2 linked regions of the Ovis aries genome follow. The protein of the gene in region 1 interacts with the protein of each later gene in a pairwise test. Links are inferred from orthologs where the notes say so. Each region holds a gene or a part of one and is shown in the gene's direction. Other genes may lie near its edges.

Region 1 (3,647 bases):
AGGTCACAGAGGGAGCGGAGGAGCCACGACCTAAACCCAGCAGTCGCCTTCAGAGCCCAGGTTCCTCCCCTCCATGCAACTCGAAGCTCCATCCTCAGCTGAATGACTGCCTGGTCCTTTGTGCTCTGCAGGGATTCTTTGCTGGGTGGGTAGGCCCAGCGTGGACCAAGGTCATACATCCCAGCAAGGTTGCAAGTTTATCAGGGCTCTCGAGAGATGGCGTGGGGTGTCCAGAGCTCCCCAGACAGAGAGTGCGGCCCTGCCGCCCCCTCCCTCCTGTTCCCCCAGGCGCACCCTGGCTGACATCATCATGGAGAAGTTAACTGAGAAGCAGACGGAAGTCGAAACGGTCATGTCCGAGGTCTCGGGCTTCCCTGTGCCCCAGCTGGACCCCCGCGTCCTAGAGGTCTACAGAGGGGTTCGGGAGGTAAGGACTGAGAGGAGAGCCATGACGGGACACCCCCACCAGGGCTCTGGGGGCCCACATCTCTTGTAGGCCTGAGGGCAGGCTCGGGGTCCCTCTCCCCGCTTATGACTCTAGGCTCAATTCCCCACTGAAAAATGAGGATGATACTAGAACCTCCTTACAGGATGGTTGTGAGGACTGAGTGAGTTAATGGACGCGAGGAACTCAGATGGGTGCCTGACAAGCAGCGACGAAGATGGTTCTATTCCCTCCTGCGCAGGTGTTGTCTAAGTACCGCAGTGGGAAACTGCCCAAGGCATTTAAGATCATCCCTGCCCTCTCCAACTGGGAGCAGATCCTCTACGTCACGGAGCCTGAGGCCTGGACCGCTGCTGCCATGTACCAGGCCACAAGGTAGAGCTGATGGGAGTGGGGCAGCCTTGGGTCTATAGGGAGGGCTGGGTGTGGGAAGGACAGGCTTTCCCTCTCTTTGTCGTTACATGCCCTCCCAGAGCTCTCTTGTGCTTCTTTATGGCATCACTTCCCCAGCTTTTCCTGTTTCCTGTTCTGGGGCCAAGGTCCTGTTAAGAACGTCCTGTGATGCATTTCTAGGGGAGAGGCGCCTAACTACAGGGACACAACCCTGCAGTGTCAGGGTGGCCTCAAAAGTCTGTGGCTCCCCAGGCATGTGCAGGTCCCTGGTCACAGCAGGGTACAGGGGACCCCTGATAGGGAGGGGAAGGTGAACAGCTGGTTCCTGTCTGTCTGCAGAGCTCTGGCTTGCCTGAAGACAGACAGTGTTCACCCCCATTCAGGTACATCTTGCAGCCCCTCCTGTTCCCTCTCTAATCTGACCTGGGTGCTGCACTGACCCAGCTCCCTCCCTGGACCCTCAGATCTCTTGCATGCAAATATCATCCGCAGTGATATTTGAAGGGCCAGCTCTTTGAACTGACCTGGGATCTTCCTCCTTCTTTCCAAAACCACTAGGATTTTTGCCTCTAACCTAAAGGAACGGATGGCCCAGCGCTTCTATAACCTGGTTCTGCTCCCCCGGGTACGAGATGACATCGCTGAGTACAAACGACTCAACTTCCACCTCTACATGGCCCTGAAGAAGGCCCTGTTCAAACCTGGAGCCTGGTTTAAAGGTGGGGACCCAGGAGGCGATTAAGAAAGGGCAGGGCCGGAGCTCTTGCAGGACCTCCTTTCTCTCCCTCTGGACTGCTAGTGACCGTGCCCCTCTGCCCCTCCCCAGGCATCCTGATCCCGCTGTGCGAGTCGGGCACCTGTACCCTCCGGGAAGCCATCATCGTGGGCAGCATCATCACCAAGTGCTCCATCCCCGTGCTGCACTCCAGGTAGTGTTGCGGGCTCTGCAGGACCATAGATTGGCCCATCTCGACAGCAGAGTCCCAGGACTTGGGGCGGGGTCGGGACACGTGGGGAAGGAGTCAAGCATAAGCCCTTGGGTTTGCAGTTAAGTCGATGGGTATATGATAACTCCACAAGATTGTCAGTCCCGTGGGAACAAGGTCCCAGGGCCTGGCCCATGCTAGGTGCTCAGTAAAGAGTTGAATGAATGAGAGAGGGGGGAACGCAGGAAGAAAGTAGGTTGGGGCAGAGACATTTGGACACACTCTGAGACAGAAGCAGTCTGAGCCAGACAAGGGTATTTGGCGTGAGTCAGCGTAGCCCGGGTAACAGGTCGAGGGAGTGAGGGGAGGGGAGAAGAATGCAGAGATTTTCCTTTAGGGACAGCACAGTTTAGACCCCGTGGCAGGGCCAGGGTAAGGAGCAGCTTTCCCCCAGCGTTTCCCTGCCTCCCTTCCCCACTAGTGCGGCCATGCTGAAAATTGCAGAGATGGAGTACAGTGGGGCCAACAGCATCTTCCTGCGGCTGCTGCTGGACAAGAAGTACGCGCTGCCCTACCGAGTGCTGGACGCCCTGGTCTTCCACTTCCTGGGCTTCCGGACAGAGAAGCGCGAGCTGCCTGTGCTCTGGCACCAGTGCCTCCTGACTTTGGTCCAGCGCTACAAGGCCGACCTGGCCACGGAGCAGAAGGAGGCCCTCCTGGAACTGCTCCGGCTGCAGCCCCACCCCCAGCTGTCCCCAGAAATCAGGCGTGAGTTGCAGAGTGCCATCCCCCGAGATGTAGAAGATGTTCCTGTCACCATGGAGTGAGGACGCAGCACTCGTCCGGGTCTGCGGAGCGTGGAAGGACTCCAGGATCCCTGATGGTGACTGGAGGTGATTCCGAGCCTTGACAGCTGAAGACCCGGATCAGGGCCAAGACAGGTCGCTGGCCTCTGACTCCCCAGTTCTCAACAGGGGGACCTGAGTAGGGCTGGTTCCCTCTTGCGTTCTAGGCCTGCATCCCTGCTCAGTTCTGAGACCGGACTTGAGGTCCCACAGCCCAGCACTCCCGGGTCCCAGCTAGGGTTGGAATGGGTACTTCCTCTCAGGCTGGTGTCAGGTCACCGGGAGGTGGATAAAGACAAAAGGCAGGTATTTATTGAACCTCAGTGTTTTGATGTGATGGATGGAGATCTTTGCTATCCTTGTTTCGCTGGAAGCAAGCACTGCTTCGCTGGAGGCGGGCACTGCTTTCCCCTCATGCGTAGCAGTGGATTCTTACCTATTTACATGGGAGCCACGTATTTCCCCCACCTTATTCTTCTTCTCTAGGCTGTACCCACCCTGCCAGCCCCTAGAGGGCACAGCCTTTGCCTTCCCCTGACACAAGCTACTTGGGGAGAATACCAGCAACCAGGAGGTTGTTCAAACACGAGAAGGTCTCAGATTGGTTGCAAGAGCTAGAAGAAAGCACCTAGAGGAAGGTGGAAATTCAGGATGAGAAAGGTCAGACCCAGGGTCACCACCAGACCAGTTCCCTTTCTAACTTTCTTAGCCAATGAAAGCGTTCAACCAGGGGTTGGCAAATCAGGGTTGTGTATGCCTGTTTTCTTACAGTCCATGAGAGAAAAATGATTTTTTACATTTTAAATGGTTGGTGGGGGAGGCAGAGAAAAAACAGCAGTATTTTGTGATAGGTGAAGATTATATGAAATTTAAGTTTCAGTGTCCCTAAAATAAAGTTTTATTGGGACACAGCCACATCCATCCACTTCCATGTCCTGTGACTACTTTCACTGCCCCTACAGCAGAGACCAGTGCAGCCTGGCTAGAACCCTGTTACTTGCTTTTGCAAATATGAGTTTGTTCCAACCTAATGACTCT
Region 2 (4,093 bases), on another chromosome or scaffold:
ACTAGTGCCACCTGGGAAGCCCTTTTCTTATGCTACTTCTCTAACAATTTGGGAAATCACTCAGAAGAGTAGGAGACCCCACTCAACCCCCCAAATGGGGGCTTTACCACCTGTAGAAATAAGAATCGTTCAATAAGCTACTCCGCAAGGGCCGTAGCAGCTGACAATCCTGTGACGCCGTCTGGCCAAGCTTGTGAGACTTTAAAAGTGAAATTGGAAAGAGAAGGAAGCAGGGAGAAGGAGGTCAGCTTAGATGGAATTGACAGAGAAGGCAGTCTAGCCTGTTTCCTGTTTAAAAACACGTACTTATGCCTTCACCTTTTCAGTACCTGAAGACCACCGCTTTTAAACTAAATCTTTTCCTCTGGGGAGAGCGCGAAGAGCCAGTAACGGGTCTTCTGAGGCAGAGCCATTTAAAGCCGGCCCAGGGGCCTCAGTGTCTACCTTAAAAGAGGGGCTCTACCCACACTTCAGCTCTTTGTTAGTCAACCGTGTCCAGCCGGTTACAATGTAAATATTCTGTTCACAAAATGCACTTCCTGTGAAAGAAGCGTAGGATAGCGGTCTAATTCAGCTGGGACCTCGGCGCCTGACCAACTCCCCCTAAGAACGGACCAGGCGCCTCCATCATGGCCGCCGGCGACAGCGCTGAGCGGCAACCGATAGGAAATGGCGCCGGGGCGTGCGGTCAGTCTCGCCGGGTCCAGGGCGACGAGACCAGAGGGCTGGCCAAGACCGTCTAGGAGCGCCGGCCAGGGTCCCTGAAGACGGTCCTCGGATTTTAGCACCTAGAAACCCTGAAAGTTGACGCCTGCAATATGGAGGACGGTTATTGTCTCTGCACACCGATATGTACGAGCAGGCCCTGATTTCGTCTCGCGTCGGAACCCGGCAAAATCCTCTATTCTCTAAACAGAATGTGTTACGTACACTGCGCATCTTCGCAATAGTGGGCCGGCTAACGACGCCAAGAATGTTACGTCGCTCTCCCCCTCCCCTCCCCACCCCTAGTTCTGGTTCAGGAGGCGCGAGAACTCTACGCCCAATCCGTACTTTGTTTTTCTGCTACAGACCGCGAAGTGCATCCGTCTCCGCAATTGACGTAAAACGCTTCAAGAATACCCATAGTACTTCGCGAAGCCCTCGGGCTATTCCGAGACGCTGTTTACGTATCGGCTCCGACGTACGTAGCGTTAAGCTGGAGCAGTCTCAGCGCCGGCCGCCATTTTGTGCAGTCGCTGGGAAGGGAAGGAGACGCCTAAGCCGCGGCACTGCCGGGTTTGAGCGTAGCCAAACCTACCCGTTGCTTTTATAACCCCGATTCTCTGTGTTTTGCTCCCGTCTCCGACGAGAGAGGCGGCGACGGTGGCGTCTGCGACGGGAGACAGCGCGTCGGAGCGAGAGAGCGCCGCGCCTGCCGCCGCCCCAACAGCGGAGGCGCCGCCGCCATCGGTCGTCACCAGACCGGAGCCGCAGGCCCTCCCGAGCCCGGCCATCCGTGCCCCGCTCCCAGATCTCTATCCGTTTGGGACCATGCGCGGAGGCGGCTTTGGGGACCGGGACCGGGATCGTGACCGTGGAGGGTAAGGGGGGAGGAGGAGAGGAAGGGCCTTGTGTGCGCGGGGGGCGGGGAGGAGGTTGCTTCCTGAGGAGACCGCAGCCTGCGGTCAAGCGGAAAACTGGGGAGCTGACTGCGGGCCTAGGAGCGAAGCTCCCTACTGGGAGGCGAGGCGATCCGGGACTTAATAGCAGTTTAGGGCGCGGGCCTCATGTGGGCCTGGGCCCCCGGGTCGCTGGCGGGGCGGTGGGGGGAGGGGGCGGCGGCTTGGCGACGCCCCAGCCCCTGCTTGCGGACGGTCGTCGTGGCGCGGCGCGCCCGAGCCTCAGCCCCACAGGCAGCAGGAGGGGAGCTCTGGAAGCGGCCGACCCAGCCCGGGCCTCCTCAGTTTCCCGGCGTTCGAGCCCGGCGGATTTGAGCAAGTCATTTGATCTCTCCAGAGCTAGTGTTCATCGTGAAATGCGGATGTTCTTGCTGAGAGAGAAGGATGAGGTCTCCGAGTTCACCCTGGGAAAGTCTTTTAACGGCAAATGGCTTCCCTGTTTATGGAACTGGAAACCTGGTTCGAAACTAGAGACTTTTAAGAAGCGGACTTGCAGATTTTAAAATATTTAAAAATTACGTTTAGTTGTACTTTAACTCGAAGGAAGCACACTGGAATACCAGCGACGTTTGCTGATATTTGCTGTCTAAAACCGTCGTTTGGCGGGAGGGAGGAGTTTTTTGTTTGTTTTAACGTTTCTTTTTTCTTTTCTAATTGGCCTGAACCATCTTGGTCTAACTTGAAATTTTTTGATCTAGTAATGCCACGGTTACTGGGTTGGAAGTTAACAGGATTAAACGTGAAGTCCTCCCAGATACTGAGATTCAAATCTTAAGGTTCCTCTTAATCGAAAAAGTCGCTTTAAAAAAAGTTTTATCTATGGATAAAAATTTTGGGGACGCCACGTCTTAATATATATAGATTGTGTGTGTGTGACCTTGGGCAAGATCCTGAACCTTTGTGAGCAGATTTTCTCTTCCGAAGATGGGGATAGTAATTGCATTGTTCCCCAGAATTGAGATAGTGTTTGTAATTGTCTCTCTGTAGTAGGCATCCTGTTAAAGCTGTTTTCTCCAAACATTTTTGTCTTTTGTGGTTCAAATACATAACTACGAGACCTAATAGTCCTACACGCTTCTCAATTATTTGATTTACTGTGGCTCAGCTGGTAAAGAATCCGTCTGCAATGCGGGAGACCTGGGTTCAATCCCTAGCTTGGGAAGGTCCCCTGGAGAAGGGAAAGGCTAGCACTCCAGTATTCTGGCCTGGAGAATTCCGTGGACTGTATAGTCCATGGGATTGCAGCGTGGGACACGACTGAGCGTCTTTCACTTATTAAATAAAAAGGATTATTTTGACTTACACTGTGTTCAGAAAGGAAATACTTTTAGCTTTAAATTCGGAAGACTATAAGTGGAATGTTTGCTTAGTGTTTCACAGTATAGCCAAATTTATAATGAATTTCAATACAGCCACTTAGGAAAAAGAACTTAATGTTTCCTAGTAAAATGAAAATGACCCAGAATTCCTCTCAAGCTTTATACCCTAGACTCATAGGCCTAGAAAAACCCTTGTACATGTACTTTGGTATCCATGTTTATAACAGTGTTGTTTATGACAGAATATTAGAAACAGTTCAAATGTCTGGATAAATTCGTCCCATAGAATACAGTACAGCAGTGAAAAAGAAAAATTTATATCAGCGTGTATGATTCACAAACATAATATTAAGTAAAAATACAAGGTGTCCTAGAAGGATAACGTAAGTAAACTAACAGATGACAAGACCAGAATACAAGGGAATGGCTAAAATTCGAGGTACTCATTGGTATGATGGGGATTCTAAACTTGAGATAGGCACATAGAAGCTATCAAAATACTGATAATATTATTTCTTTACCATGGATGTTTTATATTTACCATATATATGCTTTAATAAGAAAAGGTTTATTATCTGAAAGGCAGAAAAAGTGAATTGCTGATCCATACTTAGTTTATCCCATATTGACTCTTAAGTATCAGATATTAAGAAAAGACTTAAATAATGTTTCAAACAAAATGGCACTTTCGTAAAGTCTGTGCCCTAACTCCACCTTTACTATGAGATTTCTTTTGTTATTTGAATTGCTATTCTTTTGTTCTTAAATGTACAGAGCTGAAGTGGATTATTTTGAAAGGGGACTGAGTGAGGTAGTGTATATACATGTACAGTCCAAATGCATTGTACATGATTCTGCATGTTAATGTGTAAATCTTTGAAAACTGGCATTTATTGCAAATCAAAATTAATACTCAAAAACATTAAGGAGCAGCATAGTATGCAAGGGGTTAGGATATATGGATATTTAAATGATTATACAAATGCACTCAGGTTCTACAAGAGGAAAGGCTCTATTGGATATTGTAGTCAACCTTATAAAGGTGGTAGAAAGTGTATTTTTTTAAGAATCCCATGTTTCAAATTACAATATATCTTTAGAGAAGGATGATAT

What was found. The genes of interacting proteins can lie anywhere in the genome.
Region 2: the proteins of BYSL (region 1) and DDX17 interact in binary tests that used the Homo sapiens proteins (3 or more experiments, as listed by UniProt). The two-hybrid records come from large-scale screens. The link is inferred for Ovis aries from reciprocal best matches to the Homo sapiens genes BYSL and DDX17.

Annotation. Positions count from the first base shown.
Region 1 is NC_056073.1:15,728,885-15,732,531, forward strand, and holds part of BYSL (bystin), read left to right. Parts: intron 1-288; coding exon 289-427; intron 428-686; coding exon 687-820; intron 821-1,396; coding exon 1,397-1,557; intron 1,558-1,664; coding exon 1,665-1,767; intron 1,768-2,245; coding exon 2,246-2,591; 3' UTR 2,592-3,647. UniProt on the Homo sapiens protein: Required for processing of 20S pre-rRNA precursor and biogenesis of 40S ribosomal subunits. May be required for trophinin-dependent regulation of cell adhesion during implantation of human embryos.
Region 2 is NC_056056.1:216,005,267-216,009,359, reverse strand, and holds the start of DDX17 (probable ATP-dependent RNA helicase DDX17), read left to right. Parts: upstream 1-1,221; 5' UTR 1,222-1,533; coding exon 1,534-1,583; intron 1,584-4,093. UniProt on the Homo sapiens protein: As an RNA helicase, unwinds RNA and alters RNA structures through ATP binding and hydrolysis.